2 linked regions of the Stegostoma tigrinum genome follow. The protein of the gene in region 1 purifies or fractionates together with the protein of each later gene. This does not show direct contact. Links are inferred from orthologs where the notes say so. Each region holds a gene or a part of one and is shown in the gene's direction. Other genes may lie near its edges.

Region 1 (7,293 bases):
TTTGGTCCGCCTCCCCCTCTCTCCCTATTTATTCCAGTTCCCTCTCCCCATCCCCCTCTCTGGCGAAGGGTCTAGGCCCGAAATGTCAGCTTTTGTGCTCCTAAGATGCTGCTTGGCCTGCTGTGTTCATCCAGCTCCACACTTTGTTATCTCGGGTTCCCCAGCATCTGCAGTTCCCATTATCTCTGAATCTAATAGAGCCTGGTTTGTTGTTGCCAAACAGAAAGACTAGTAGGTCATTCAACAACTTGGATCAGTTTCAGAATTCCGTTCACCTGACTTGACTCCATATCATTTTATACTGTTGTCTGGTAAAAACCCATTATCTCCAATTTAACTATTAATAAAGGATCAAATACCACATTTCTAACACCCTACCAGGTAGAAATGCTTTCTAATTTCTCTTGCGAATACCCAGCTCCAATTTTGGGATTATGTCCTTACCCACCAAGGGGAATGATTCTCTGTGTCTATGTCCTTCATTCATTCCAAAATCATTAAAATATGAATGCACTCACTGCCTTGACCTAATATATTCTTGGGAATACAAGTCTAGTCTATCTAAGCATCCTTCATAATTTAACCCTTGGAGCCCTGACAAGACACTGCTGAATCTGCACAATTCTGTGTCCTCTAATTGTTAAGCCTTCAGTCATTAGAAAAAGTTTCCCCATTATTAACTCTTTGTAAAGTCTTCATTTTAAACGTCTTTCTGAAGCTAAATTCTTTCCGAGGTATGACGTTAAGAATTGTACATGGTACTCCAGATGTGGTCCAACCAAGGCTTTGCAGAGATACAGTTCAACTTTTGCTCTTTTATATCCTACAGCTCTAGCTTTAAAATATAACATTTGAATTTTTTTGTCCTTGCTGACCCTAATTTATTGATGTGTGTATATAGGTCTCTTTGGACCTCCACTGTTCCTAGTTAATCATCACTTTAGCAATATTCAGATCCATTATTTTCAGTTGGTTTAAGATGGAAGCCCTTGCCCTTGCTTGTGCTGAAATCCAAAACATCAATATTTATTTTCCTGAGTTTCCTGGTCTCTAATTCCTTGTCCACAGTAAAAACTGATGATAAATACTTGTTTCGTATCTCTTCCATCTCCTGTGGTTCCATGCATAGACAACCTTGTTGATCTTAAAGGGGCCCTTTTCTCTCCCTTGTTGTTCTTTTGCTGTGAATTTATTTGCAGAATCTCTTTGGACTATCTTCAGCCTTATCTGTCAAGGCTATCTCATATTCCCTTAATGCCCTCCTAATTTTCCTCTTAAGAATGCCCCTACAACCCTTACACTGTTCTAGAGATTCACTTGATCTCAATTGTCTATATCTAATATATGACGCCTTCCTAAACATGACTTGAGCCAAATATCTTTAATCATCCATGGTTCCATACTCTTACCATCCTAACTCTTCACTCTGAAAGGAACATAATGCCCCTGAAATAACAAGGTGTAGAGATGGATGAACACAGCAAGCCAAGCAGTATCAGAGGAGCAGGAAGGCTGACGTTTCGGCCATAGACCCTTCTCTTATTATCTCAGATTCTCCCAGCATCTGCAGTTCCTACTATCTCTGAAACAATAATGCCTCTGAATTCTTGTTATCTCACTTTTGAAAGCCTCCCATTTGTCAGTCATCCCTTTACCTGTGAACAGTCTACTCGAATCAATTCTTGAAAATTCCTGTCTCATACCATCAAAATTTGCTTTATTCCAATTAATAACTTTAATTTTTATAAAAGGCCAATCCTTTTCCATAACTATTTGAAAACAATTAAAACTGTGATCACTGGTCCCAAAGTACTCCCCTAGTAACACTTCAGTCACTTGCTCTGCCTTATTTCCCAACAGAAGGTCATGTTTTGCTCCTTCTCTAGTAGGTACATACACATCAATAAAGAAAATTTTCTTCAATACATGTAACAAATCCCTCATCATCTAAGTCCTAACAGTGAATACACTCCACCCCTTAATTATTGCATACCTTATTACTGCTTCATTTCTATTCTGACCCTCTGCTCTTGGGATGGCATCCTCTTCTACAGTGCCTAGTTTAGGACATTCCTGCCAGCAATGTTCACTTTAGCCTCACAGTGTCAACTACATTTTCTCTGAGATAATGGGAACTGCAGATGCTGGAGAATCCAAGATAATAAAGTGTGAAGCTGGATGAACACAGCAGGCCAAGCAGCTTCTCAGGAGCACAAAAGCTGACGTTTTGGGCCTCGACCCTTCATCAGAGAGGGGGATGGGGAGAGGGATCTGGAATAAATAGGGAGAGAGGGGGAGGCGGACCGAAGATGGAGAGAAAAGAAGATAGGTGGAGTGGAGAGTATAGGTGGGGAGGTAGGGAGGGGATAGGTGAGTCCAGGGAAGACGGACAGGTCAAGGAAGTGGGATGAGGTTAGTAGGTAGGAAATGGAGGTGCGGCGTGGGGTGGGAGGAAGGGATGGGTGAGAGGAAGAACAGGTTAGGGAGGCAGAGACAGGCTGGGCTGGTTTTGGGATGCAGTGGGGGGAGAGGTCTAGGCCCGAAACGTCAGCTTTTGTGGTCCTGAGATGCTGCTTGGCCTGCTGTGTTCGTCCAGCTTCACACTTTATTATCTTACATTTTATCTGTTGTGCAAGACTTCCTCTTCTTCTATCTAAACTAGGTTCACCTTACTCTACTGGCTGGCACTTTTCTGAGACGTGGCTACACTCTATGGAAAACTAGCCAGAACCTCCCTTCCTCTCTTGTCAGAATTTCTGCTGGAGTCTCTCAATACAGATGTGACAGAGGAATCCCACTGCCCACAAATTCCCACATATCAGTCCTGACACGTGGCCATGTCAAGCTTTTATTTACTTGCTAGTAATAATTTAGTTCTAGATAGAATTGCTTGACTTCGATTGTAGAAAAGATTAATTCAGCTTGATTTCAAGTCATTTTTGTTTTTATTGATTTCTTTTTTTTTGTTTTCTAACAATTTATTATTTATTATTTAAGGAGACGAGATTTTAAATATGCAATTCGGATCTCTAAATTTAAAATGCTTAATTAGTTGCAGATTGGCCCCCTCTGAGCTGACTGCAATGTAAAGTTAGCGCTCCCTGAAGATCACTGCCAGTATAACAGCTCCAAGAGCAACTTTTTCTGCTGTAATAAAACGAGAGAACAGCAGAGAGCAGTAACGTCGAAACATTTAAACAGGTTTAAACAGGCTAAAAATGTGTTATTTTATTCAGAAATACCCATCCTTTTACACGTGTTACAAAATTATTATGATCATTCGGAATTGTCAATTCAACAAAGTGTGAATTAGAGCAATAAAAATCAGAGCTAATGAAAATACAGGTGGGAATGGAGTTTAAGTCCTAGACTTTGGTGTGTATTTTCTAATGGTCCTATTATGCATCATATTGAATATAAGCTCTATATTTAGTGCAGTTGAAGTGTTGAAGTAATGATAATTTTAATAAGAGAATGAAAAATGCCAAAAGTAATTTTAAGAAAAGACTATGTTTCAATGTATTATCAGAGTTGATGAAAATATAGATGGGAGCAGAGTTTAAATCCTAGACTTTGATGTGCACTTTTCTAAGGGTCCTTTTATGCATTCCTATTAATTAAATTAGAGCCAGCATTTAGAGCAGCTGAAGTGTAATAATAATGATAATTTTAAGAAGAGAATGAAAAATGCCAAAAGCAGTTTTGAGAAAAGACTATGTTTCACTGTGTTAACCAGGCTGCACTGCAACGTCTATTCACAGGCGCGATCCGACTACTGATGGGCACGGGGGTTTTGACCTGCTCCGTTTCCGACCTGGGCCGATTCACCCCTCTTTACCCGACCTGGTGAACCCGGATTCCTCCAGGGACACCATATCGATGCCCAACTTAGTGAGGACACCTGATCGGCATAGTCCGCAGCAGCCCAGAACTCCTGGTCTCAAGCAATCCGATAGCCTCAGCCTCCGAGTCGCCGGATTACAGGCGCACGCCACCGCGCCCGGCGAATACTGCTGCTGCTCAAAAGATACTTCAACCCAACGTCACAAAGCCTTGTGTGTGATGTAGGCACGTCATTCATCTGTGGAGGCGGTGCCACGGCCAAGGGCCCGCGTTCTACTCATCCATATTCATAGAGGAGGCGGGTTTTGTAGGTCGGGCGGGAAAGGCGAGCAAAGCTGGCAGCTATCGGCTGGCGCATGCGTCGGAATGCCGCCGGTGGGCGGGTTGGCGCATGCGCCGGGATGCCTTTTGGGCCTGCGTGGCAGCGTGTTGTTGTGTGTGGCGGGGGAATAGCAGGAGAGGAGCAGGGAGGCGACGGGTGGGAAGCGAGGCGGTTTCGTCTCAGAGCAGTTCCGTGTAGGATTGGCAGTACCAGGGGTGGGGGAAGGGGGTGAGACAGTAACAAACATCAGCGCCACCCCCCTAGCCCCCAGCAATGGAGGACGAGAGCAGCTCCCGGGTAACCTCAGCGCCCAGATCCAGTGAGTCTGACTGAGCCCTGGCACCAGGCTCTCATCTGTCTGTTTAACTGTCTTTGTCTATCTCCAAGTTCCCCCCGTCTCTCTCTCTCTCTGACACACACGCACACCCTCCTGTCCCCTCTGTGTTTACATGTAACACTCCCAGTCCTTCCACAGCATCAAGATGGCACTGCTTCTTCCTAGGGCCTCGATCAGCTTCATTAGAGATCATCCGGACAACCTTTTCTGTTTCTTCCCACCCCCACGCGAAAAAGTATCCACCCTTGCCAAACTAAATAAATCCAAATCGTGTTTTTTTTAAAGAAAGACGGATCCACGTGCACGTGTGCAGGACACTGTTTACCAATGTTTACTCCACCGTGTATTCGAATCTGGGCCAGACTAGGTTCCATTGAAATTCATTACAAAGGGAATTAAACGGAAGTCAGGGTATGGGCTAAAGGAATGTATGAATAAATAACACATTTTGTTTGGACGTTTGTCTTCTGCAATGTATTGGGCCTGGACTTGGGACTACACTTCGAAGTTATACTAAGAACAATTACCTCTAGTAATTGTGATTTACTTGAGGCTTAGTTTTAATTCGACTCAGGTCTTTACGATGTTTTAAAAATTTGCTAGGTTGTCAAAATGTAATGTATTCCACTTAACTTAATTGTCAGGAATTTTATGCCTGAATTTATTTCATTTGCATGCATGCAAATTATTTTCTAGAATGCACACTAAACAAATTACAATGCCTGCTGCTAACTTTATATGTCATTTCCAGCACTGTTTAATGGCCTATCAGAAACACATTTAGCACAATACAATATACTTTTGGCAGTAGATGAGAAAGGATGTCCTAAATGTTAAGTTGTAACAAACTGTTGAAATGATCATTTACACTTTCATTGTTTAGTCCAAGCGATGGTTTTTATGTTGATTCCTGTCCAAACCACACATTCATTTCCTGACCCAGTACCAGTGCAGGTGTCCCATGAAAATGGAATACATTCTACCGTGTCAATGCAGATTGTTTTATTTTAGAAGACCAAAATACGAAAGGACTTAAAGCTGTCATCACAAGTACATATATGGCCCCAGGAAGCCGCTGTGAAGTGATAGATTCCCACACCCTTTAATTACCTGTTCACCAACTCAATCTGCTCATTTGTTTCTAATCTATTAGGCTAATTTTGCATGTGGTTCATGTGTTAGGTTAGATTATTGCCTTCACAACAATGTTTTATTTTAGCATATAGTTCCTGGTACTTACTCGCAGAACAAAGTTCTGAAATCCGTTCACTGCACTGATTCTAATAGCTTGTGCATTTCTGGTTTCAGTCACATTACTTTTGACTACGTAAACCTGTAATTTTGTGGCATAACCTTTCAACCTTAGTGCCTCTGTCCTCTTAAAATGCTCCATAAAACCTGTTTCTCTGACCAAGCTTCTAGTTAACTGCCCTAATATTTCCTTAAGTGACTCATCAAATTTGCTTTAACTACATACATTTGACACTCTTTGGGACATTTTGCTTTGCTAAAATTTAGGGTTAGGAAATAAATGAAAATTGCAAATTGTTATACTGTCTGCCAAAGTGTAAAATTACTAAAATAAACATGTATAAAACAAACATCTTAGTTCCACAATATTAACATGCGATTTCTAAATGGCATTTTTGGAGTAGGTTTTATGAGAATTGACAATACAATTCTCTATTTTTCTATTAGTCATACATCCATTACACATTTCAGTTGCATTTTTATCAAATTTTATTTCAATAATACCAGCATTTCTGTTTTTAAGATTGAAAGTTAATGTTGTTTTCCTGTTTTGTAACAGCAAAAAAGCCACGTTTTGATGTGTCCCTAGTGCATCTAACGCAACAGTTTATGGAACTTGTGAAGGAGGCACCTGATGGCGTCCTTGACATGAATGATATTGCAAAGATGCTTGGGGTGCGAAAGCGAAGGGTTTACGATATCACCAATGTACTTGATGGGATTCGTCTTGTGAGAAAAAAATCAAAAAATTTAATTGAATGGATGTAAGTCATTTTTACACTTCCTGTAAATTGATTTATTTTATAAAATTCACTGGTATTCATTCAGGCATATCTCTACATGATTTTGTGTTCATTATAAAGGTGGGCTCAAGAGCATGATATGTGATTCTCAAAATAATTTTCGATGAAAATTGAATTTATTTTTACTTTGACGTGAATGCAGCTTTCAAGTGGAATCCCATAGTTATCAGTGAAATTGTATTGTAAATATTTTTGCATGCTCTGAATCCAGATTTGAATTCAGGCTAGGCTGGTGAGATGCAAGTTTCATTTTCTGTCCTGTACCCACTGCTGCTGAAGTCCACAAAAATGTAATTTGGGCCATCCATTAGAATTCTTAATTTGTATGTCTGCAATACAGATTACTAAAGTATTGCCTTTTTACTTTAAAATAATTCTTATTTTCCAGTCCAGTCCCTCCACAGCCTGGTTCCTTGTTACCTCTGTGACCACCTACACTGCCCAGCCATCCAAAGATGTCTGTACTCCTCTAGTTCTGTCCTCTCAAATTTAGTTGCTCTGTCATTAGACAAGCTTTCAGCTGCTTATAATAACAAAATGAAATATTCACAAAACATGTTTGCAGCTCGAAGGTTGAATTGCAGTGCAACTGCATCGAAATAGTCATATAATGACTATGTAATCAGGTTAATAATGTAATAATCGTATGACAACAAAAGTAAAGAGACAGATTTCAGCAAACAACAGGAATGTATTAAACAGGATATTACAACATAAAATTGAATTTTAAAATTACA
Region 2 (8,084 bases), on another chromosome or scaffold:
ATTGACACTTCACTGTACCTTAGTCTAAGTAACCCTTCTTCACCATTACAAACTTCTGCCAGAGGTTCCATTACACTAGAAGTCACTTGCTGTCCCTGTAACTACAGACGTACTAAGTCGGTCAGTTCTCAGGAGTTGTGTGGTGCACGTTGCTTCAACTTTTGCCTCCAGAAAGGGCATCCCTTCCCCCTCTTCCAAGATAGACTTAACAATGCGGGCGTAGCCCCTGGATTCATAACACACAGGACACACCAGGATTCCAACTCCACTCAAGCCATCATGCATCAACAGTTAAGGTTTCACTTTTCCCCTGAGTGAGCTGTTTCCTCCACATCATCTACCCCGACACCTAGTCTCAAGCAACCGTCCTCTGTGAGCCATTTTCTCAGGCTGCCTCCAGCTATCAGTTCAACAACATAGCTGTGGCTACCTGTGTCCAAGCAATTGATGATTCTGCAGGGTTCAGGGTTCCAGACATTCTTTATGTTATTCACACCCCGGCTTTCCAATTCTGAAGGAATATGCTTGCACAGATTGGAAGTTCAGTCCTGTCAACCTTGCAATTGTTCGATGTTTTTCTTCTCAGTCCTCTTGGATACCATCTCGAATGTCTGGCTCAGCCTCATGTGATGCTTGGCTATCCACCTGACCATCCCCATCGGAAGGTGTGGGGAGCCCAAGGAGATGGCCCACAAGAAAGACTGGACCTCATTCAAAGAAGAAGCAGCATGGAGAACAGCCTGTGAGTGAGTGTGGGGTTTTATAAGCATAAATCAGCTCCAGAGGGCTTTCAGGCCACTTTCATTCTTAGGGGCCCTCTCAATTGACACAAAGTTGTTTACCCAGCTGAAAGAATCAAGAATTAAAGGCCTAAGTCTCAGAATGTGGGATTGATGATTTAGGGATTTGAAGGAAGCAAGGAGGCAAGGTGTATAGACAATCATCAGATAAAAGTTGAATCATTTACATTGTCCTTTACCCACTGGATGAAGGAGTGGGGTGGGCGGATGGGTGGTGCAGCTCTTGGCTATGCCACAGACATTGCAAAGCAACCAGAGGATCTTGCTGTTCAAGCTGTGCTCCAGTCACTGTGAATCTGACGTCAAATACTGAAATCACCTACTAACATTCCGGCTATAATTGACACCTATTGGTCATGTGTGAACTTCCCGGAGTTTTCTGTGAATATGAGAACACACTCAGTCCTATCAACTGGAGTGAAGGACCACAAATTCTATTGAAAGCACTTCTAGAGATTTCTTGAGACCAGAGATGGCTTGCTGGGCAAATTTGTTTCCCAGGTTTGACCAAAGTACAATTCGCACAATTAAAACAGTCGACATCAGTAACCGTAATGTGCCAACAATGCTTGACGAGTTGTTTCACCTCTCCTTGACAATGATCCATCCGATAGAGGACTCCAGCCTCCTCCCTGATTCTTTTCCAACACCTCACACTGTTGTCAAGCCAGTTTGGACTCATCCATTAGCTAGTGGCTGTTGTAGGAATGGCACAGTCTCCTGGTGCCCATGTTTGTCAGCTGAAGCTGTCTGAGGTCTTCTTTCGAGATAGAGAGCAAAGGTGAGACAACACTCTCTAGACCTGGTTTGGATCTCACACATAGGTGCATCATTGACACTTCACTGTACCTTAGTCTAAGTAACCCTTCTTCACCATTACAAACTTCTGCCAGAGGTTCCATTACACTAGAAGTAACTTATAGAATGGAAACTAATTACATGATTTGAGGTTTTAAGAACATGTGAAATAACAACAATGCCACATAGATCTTAGAATCTGATCTACTATTCAATAAGATCATAACTGAACTTTTACATTAGCTCCACCTTCCTGTCCTAACCCAATGTCCCTGACTCTCTTCATGCTGAGTAATGTCAGTTTCAGTCTTGAATATATTCAATAACTGAGCATCCAGAGTCCCTGTAGTAGAAAACTCCAAAGATTCACAATCATGAATAAAGAATTCATTCTTCTTCAAATCTCTAAATAGTCAATCCCTCATCCTGAGACTTAGGCCTTTAATTCTTTCCGCTGGGTAAACAACTATGTGTCAACTGAGAGGCCCTCTAAAAATGTATATATATTGCAGTAAGAAAACCTCTCCTGTTCCTAAACTCACCAGAATCAAAGCTCAGTCTACTGCTACTCATAGGACAACTTTCTCATCACACGATTATGCTAAAATATGGCTGGGAGGTACTCTTGACCTCATCGTCCTGGTCAAGGAGGAGGGAAAGCATCTGGAGGATCTCAGAGATGTCATAATTGTGATCATTTTCCAGAAAGGAGACAGGTCCAAGCGTGGAAATTACAGAGGGATATATCTACTGTCTGCCATGAGGAAGGTCATTGCATGAATCCTCCTCAACCACTTTCTGCCAGTGGCTGAAAATCTCCTTCCCGAGACTCAATGCAGCCTCCACCCATCAAAAGGGACAATGGAAACAATTCTCAGTACATGACAAATCCAGGAAAAGTTTAGGGAACAGCACCAAGTGCTGTACACGGCCTTCTTCAATCAGCACAAATCTCTGACAATGGTGAGGGATATCCTCTTCAAGCTCGGCCACCTGTGGAAATCCGTCACCGTTCTCCGTCTGCTTCAGAATGATTTGCAAGCTGTAACCCTTAAAAATGGATCCACCACAGATTTAATACATGTGCAAACAGGGATCAAGTAGGGCAGCATCAACACACCACTGCTGGTCTCCATCTCTATGAAGCTGCCCGTCAGAGTGGGGCTAACCTACAGCACAAACAGGAAATTGTTCAACCTTCATTGCCTGCAGGCCAGAACCAAGACCACCCCAATCTCTGTCATCAAGTTAATCGAGTTACAGTATGTAGATCACGCTTGTGTTTGTGCACATTGGAGGCCATGCTGTGAACCAACACCATCATATTCACCGAGGCATTCAAGAGACTAGGCCTTATAGTAAATATCCAGAAAACAAAGGTTCTCTACAAGCCTGCTCCCGCCACACAACAGGGCCTCTGACCAGCAAACCCATGGTGACAATATGGCTCATTTCCCATATCTCGGTATCCTTTTCTTACTGTGAGCTATGACATTGACAGTAAAATTGAACATTGGCTCCAATGCACCAGTACAGCTTTTGGATGCCTGAGGAACAGAGTGTTCAAAGTTCGAGACCTGAAACCCAGCACAAAGTTCATGGTCAACGGAGCAGCTGTGGACCCCACCCTCCTGTATGTACCGAAAACATGGACAATGTTCAGCCTGAAGTTCTCACCAGGGCTGCCTTTGCAAAATCCTGCAAATCCACTGGCAGGATAAGTGAACTAAAGTGGGTGTTCTCCCTCACAACCCTAGTGTTAAGGCACTGCTGCGATGAGCAAGCAATATTGTCTGTATGCCCAGATATAAGACACCCTAAACAAGCGTTCTACTCCTAGCTCCACAGTGGTAAGTGAACACCAGGAGGGCAGAGAAATTGTTACAGATACCTGATCGCTCCCATCTACATACCTTCTCAAACAGCACCTGGTCCGCTATGGCAGAGTCTGCAGCTCCAGGATTGGACGATTCAACCAACGCATATACCGCCCCCAAGTGCAAGGATGTTATCCTCAACCCTGAGGGACTGCAAAAAGAGAACTACTATGCCTCATATGGCAACCCTGTCATGACAGAATGGTGGTAGTGTAAGGCAAGGACACTGCATTGTTTCCGAGATAAGAAACCCAAAATGGTACATTGTACTCTGGTGTCTTCAGATCAAAGCCTTAGAGTTGCATCTAACCTTTCTTACTCTTACCTTTTTTATGGGTAAACTCGACAAACATTTGCTTTCCTGTTATATTCATTTAGAATATGTTACAAAACTATAACTTATTCAATGATTGAAATATGTATGTTTGTGTACGTTTTGAGATCTATAATAGATTCCCTAAACCCAAATATATCGCCATGGGCGAAGATTGAGAATTTTATAGCCACGGCTAAATCAACATGTCTGCGCAAAATTGATGGAATATGGAGCTGATCGGCCTTCTTCGTATTGTTACTTTTCACTATAACTGCCAACTGATAAAAAGTCAGAATGCAAACGTAGGTTTGTGCCGTGGAAATATCTTCAAGAAAGGTTAAATGACTTTAGGCGGGCAAGATAAAACCCAGGATCAACATCATCTCGTTTAATCACACACGGGCATCTCAAAAAAAACATTCACGGTCCATGACGCCTTTGACGGACCGCCGACACATCCCAACGTGACGGCGGAATAGCGATCGCAAAGGAGTGGTGTACTTTATTATTTTCAAGATGGAAGAACAACGTTTGGCAAACGAAGGTGCACATGCACACACGAACCACTATATGCATGGAGGTGACTTGTGTGTAGGTGCTGGGCGCGGTCTGCCGTTTTGCTGCCTGGTGAATAAGCAGCGTGAAGAGCTGCAATAGGTTTGTGGCAACGCTGCCAGGATTGTTCCAGCGCAAGTGCTTCCGACCCTGGTACAAAACGCTCTTCCCCCACCAACAGCCGGTCTATCTGCTGGGGAGGGGAGGTGAAATGACTTGCATCCCCCATCACCATGGGTCTCCGTGCCGCTGCAGCGTTAACCTGTTGCAGAATCCTCCGGGATTGCTACATTTAGACCTAGGGAGGTACACATGCGCACAAGGACCCAGCAATCCCTTTACGCCTCCTCCGTCCTCGAGGCAGCGAGGTTCGCCCCAAATCCAGCGTCAACCCCCAAACAACCCCACCTCCGCGCACGCGCCTCATGGGCCGTGAGGGCTTCGGGCCCATCCCGGGCCGCGCATGCGTGCCGGCGTGAATGCTGCGGGGCGTCGCAAGGGGAAGGGGGAAAACGTCGGCGCAGGTACAGGCGCAGGAGCCGCCGCCACCCAAACGGCCCACGGCGCACGCGCGGTACCGCCGCAAACGTCAGTGCGCACGCATGTGTCGAGCCGTTAGGTCACACGCAGGGCTATGTGTTGGAGCGGAAGAAACATAAGTCACTGGTGGTGTGGGAGGGGGTGGTCGTGTCAACGGGACAGTCGTGACAGTGTAGGGGTTTTGGGGGAGGGGGAGGAGAGAGCGATGAGAAAACATAACACAGATTGAGGGGGTGGTTGCGATTAGTATTTTTCTCCCTCCAACCAAACCCGCTTCAGTTTCGCTCTCGGCGCGGTGTCGTGCGCGAAGGAGGTGAAGAAGCCGGGGTGCGCGGGGTGCAGGCTGAGCCCACGGAGGGCGTGAGTTGGGCGCGCGCCGGAGATTTTCGTTTCTTCGCCGCACGCGCGCGGCCTCTCCCGCCCGACTCCTCCACCTTCCCGAGGTGCAACGGTCGACGGGCGGGTGGGCCGTAAGGGGAGAAAAATAAGGCAGGCCCCGAGCACGTGACAGCGTGCCACAAGGAGGCGGCGGCGGTGCCGCCAGCTGCAGCAGCCGGACGACGGAGAGGGAGGGGGGGTTGAGAGCAGGGAAGTGCTTGGGGGCGGCGAGATCAGGTCCGGGCAGCCTCCCCGAGGCAGAGGGCAGTGTAAGGCAAGCGTGAGATCAGAAAAAGGGGAGAAGCGTGCGGGGTTGGGGTACTGAGAGGGCAGGAAGTCGGCCATCAGGGAGGAGCTGCAGAAATTAGCACCTCAGTGGCAGCCGCGCTTCCATCGGAGTCCTGGAAAGGGCAGGCTCGGCATGAGGGGTATCCCTCATGCACCTCCTCTTTCACGGGACGAGTCTCTTTTCTTCCAGGGTAATTGAGAGGGCAGGGTAAAGTAGGTGACATCGAAGGGGTGGATTGTCCCTGGCCTCGACTCCACTCTGAAAGCCCACAGGCTGCAAGCAGTCAAGTTTTTTTGGCGGCGGGGGGGGGGAGCTGGGTAAACATCGAGGCTCAGCCAGTACAGCGGAGGTAGTGAAGTGCCATCGGCGGGAGAGGATTTATTTTATTTTGTACCCGTCTCGCCCGGTGCTCCAGGATCTTCCACCGGAGCGGGGGAGAGCGGCACGTTGGAACTGGGCTTGCAGGACGCAGAGCTGAGCACCGGCCTTTCTCTCTCACGCGAAATGGGTAAGAAGGTCTGACTTTTAAACCTCAGCAACGCCTTGCTTTTTCAACTCCCGAATGTTTAAATGGTACGGAACGTGTTCAGCTTTCCGGTGTCAACATCGCCCGGGAGGAGGAGCCGGACCGCTTGTTTTCCCACTGGCGATTTCATCCGGAGAGAAGCGCCAGACAATAAAAACCCTTTTTGTTGTTGTTGATGCCTCCCGTGCGCTTTTGCTTGTAAAGGCATGGCGGGAGTTTGCATTTCCTGCCGATTTCTTTTTTGTTGTTAAAGCAGCGTGGTTTGTACCTGTAAATCGAGAGGCTTGTTGTTTGATCGGGGAGATCCTGTGTACCGCGGGATTGAAGTGCTCTGGGAGGGGGCCGAGGGGAGCTGGGCTTAAAGTGTGAAGCCCGCGATCTGAGCTGAGGCGGTTCTCTAGGACGAATGCGATCAGCAGCATCTTCCAATCTCGACACGTGTGGAATGGATCCACCCAGGCCCGGGCTCACAACAGCCCCAGGACAGCCTCAAATTCCCAATGTACACAGTCCTGGGCAGGCTGCTATTGGCGGCGGGTTTGTTGGTTTGTTTCTGTTTTGGGGACGGATTTCTCTCTCTTCCCCCGTCTCTTTTGCAGTTGACTAAACTCCGCTTGCCCGCATTCCTGTCTTTAAGTTGGAGTGTTTGCTCACCTTATGATTGAAAGGAACAGGCGCTACAGCGAAGGGAGTTGAAGAGAATATTCCCGAATTAACACGGTCAGTTATGCGCCCCTTTTGAGGAAAAGAACGAGATGGGGTTTACCCAACCTCCATGACTGTTAAATTGGAGGAGGTCGATCCACTGACCCCAAGATTGGGGGGGTGTGACCTAGGCTGTAATGCCCATGGTTGGCAGCAGAGGTGTCATGAGCTCTGATTCCCATGTTTGGCGTTAGGCAGTTCAGGGCTTCAAGTTGTTCTGGCCTCTGATCCAAACGGATTTGGATTGTGGGATATTCAGGTATTTCATCCCTAGGGTTTTGTGGTGTAGAATCTCTGGGTTTTGGGGTGTAAGATGTTCTGGTTAGTGAACCATAGGTTTTGATATCAGATCATCAGACCTCTAATCCCCAAGGTTTTGGTGGCATGGAATGTTCTGGTCTCTGATAACCAGGGCTTTAGGAAATGAAATGTCCTGGTAATTGATTTTCACAGTTTTGGGATGGAGGATGTTCTGGCCTCTTTACTGGGATTTGAAATACTTGATATATTGATTTTAATTTTTCAAAATCGAATAGATTCAGGGAAGGTTCCTTTAGATTGGAAAGTAGCTAATGTAACTCCTTTTATTATCTAGGCAGAGAGGCAGAAAGCAGGAAATGACAAGTCATTTAGCTTAACTGTCATGTGCCAAATCTCAGAAGCTGTTATTAAAGATTGTAGAATGGGCCCAAATAAAGTTCAGGGTAATCAAGCAGAGCCAACATCGTCATGTCAAAGGGAAATCATATTTAACTAAATTTATTGAAATTTTTTAAAAGAGGTAACACATGCTAAAGACAAAGGAGATCAGTGGATGTACTGATTTGGATTTCCAGAAAACATTTGAGATGCCACATCAAAGGTTATTATGGAAAATGAAACTTCATGGTGTAAAAGGTAACATACTTGGCATGGATAGAGGATTGGCTTGCTAACAGTAAGCAAACAGTAGGAGTAAGTGGATGTTTTTTAGAACAAGTGGTGTGTCACAGTGTTCAGTGCTTAAGCATCAACCGATTACACTTATTCAATGATTTGGATGATGGGTTCAAAGGTATGGTATTGGAGTTTGTTGATGGCACAGTTATTTAGGGAAGTGAGTTGTAAAGAGGATATAAGGACCCTACAAAGGGATATAGGTTAGGGGGATGAGTTAGCTCTGGCTGAATGCTGGTGATGGATGCTAGAGTCTTGGTTCATTTTCTGCAGTTGTTTAGATTACAATGAAAGTCTCTTCTTCACAACCACTCCCCTCACCTGAGGTTTGGTAACCCTAGGGTTAAACTATCACCACTTCTCT

Evidence for each region. The genes of interacting proteins can lie anywhere in the genome.
Region 2: the proteins of e2f6 (region 1) and mgaa purify together in Homo sapiens (affinity purification with mass spectrometry; 3 studies listed by BioGRID and IntAct, counting the BioPlex papers as one, with this or other methods). This does not show direct contact. The link is inferred for Stegostoma tigrinum from reciprocal best matches to the Homo sapiens genes E2F6 and MGA.

The regions. Positions count from the first base shown.
Region 1 is NC_081357.1:114,882,828-114,890,120, forward strand, and holds the start of e2f6 (transcription factor E2F6), read left to right. Parts: upstream 1-4,249; 5' UTR 4,250-4,438; coding exon 4,439-4,484; intron 4,485-6,312; coding exon 6,313-6,517; intron 6,518-7,293. UniProt on the Homo sapiens protein: Inhibitor of E2F-dependent transcription. Binds DNA cooperatively with DP proteins through the E2 recognition site, 5'-TTTC[CG]CGC-3'. Has a preference for the 5'-TTTCCCGC-3' E2F recognition site.
Region 2 is NC_081363.1:79,772,858-79,780,941, forward strand, and holds the start of mgaa (MAX dimerization protein MGA a), read left to right. Parts: upstream 1-5,053; 5' UTR 5,054-6,061; intron 6,062-8,084. UniProt on the Homo sapiens protein: Functions as a dual-specificity transcription factor, regulating the expression of both MAX-network and T-box family target genes. Functions as a repressor or an activator.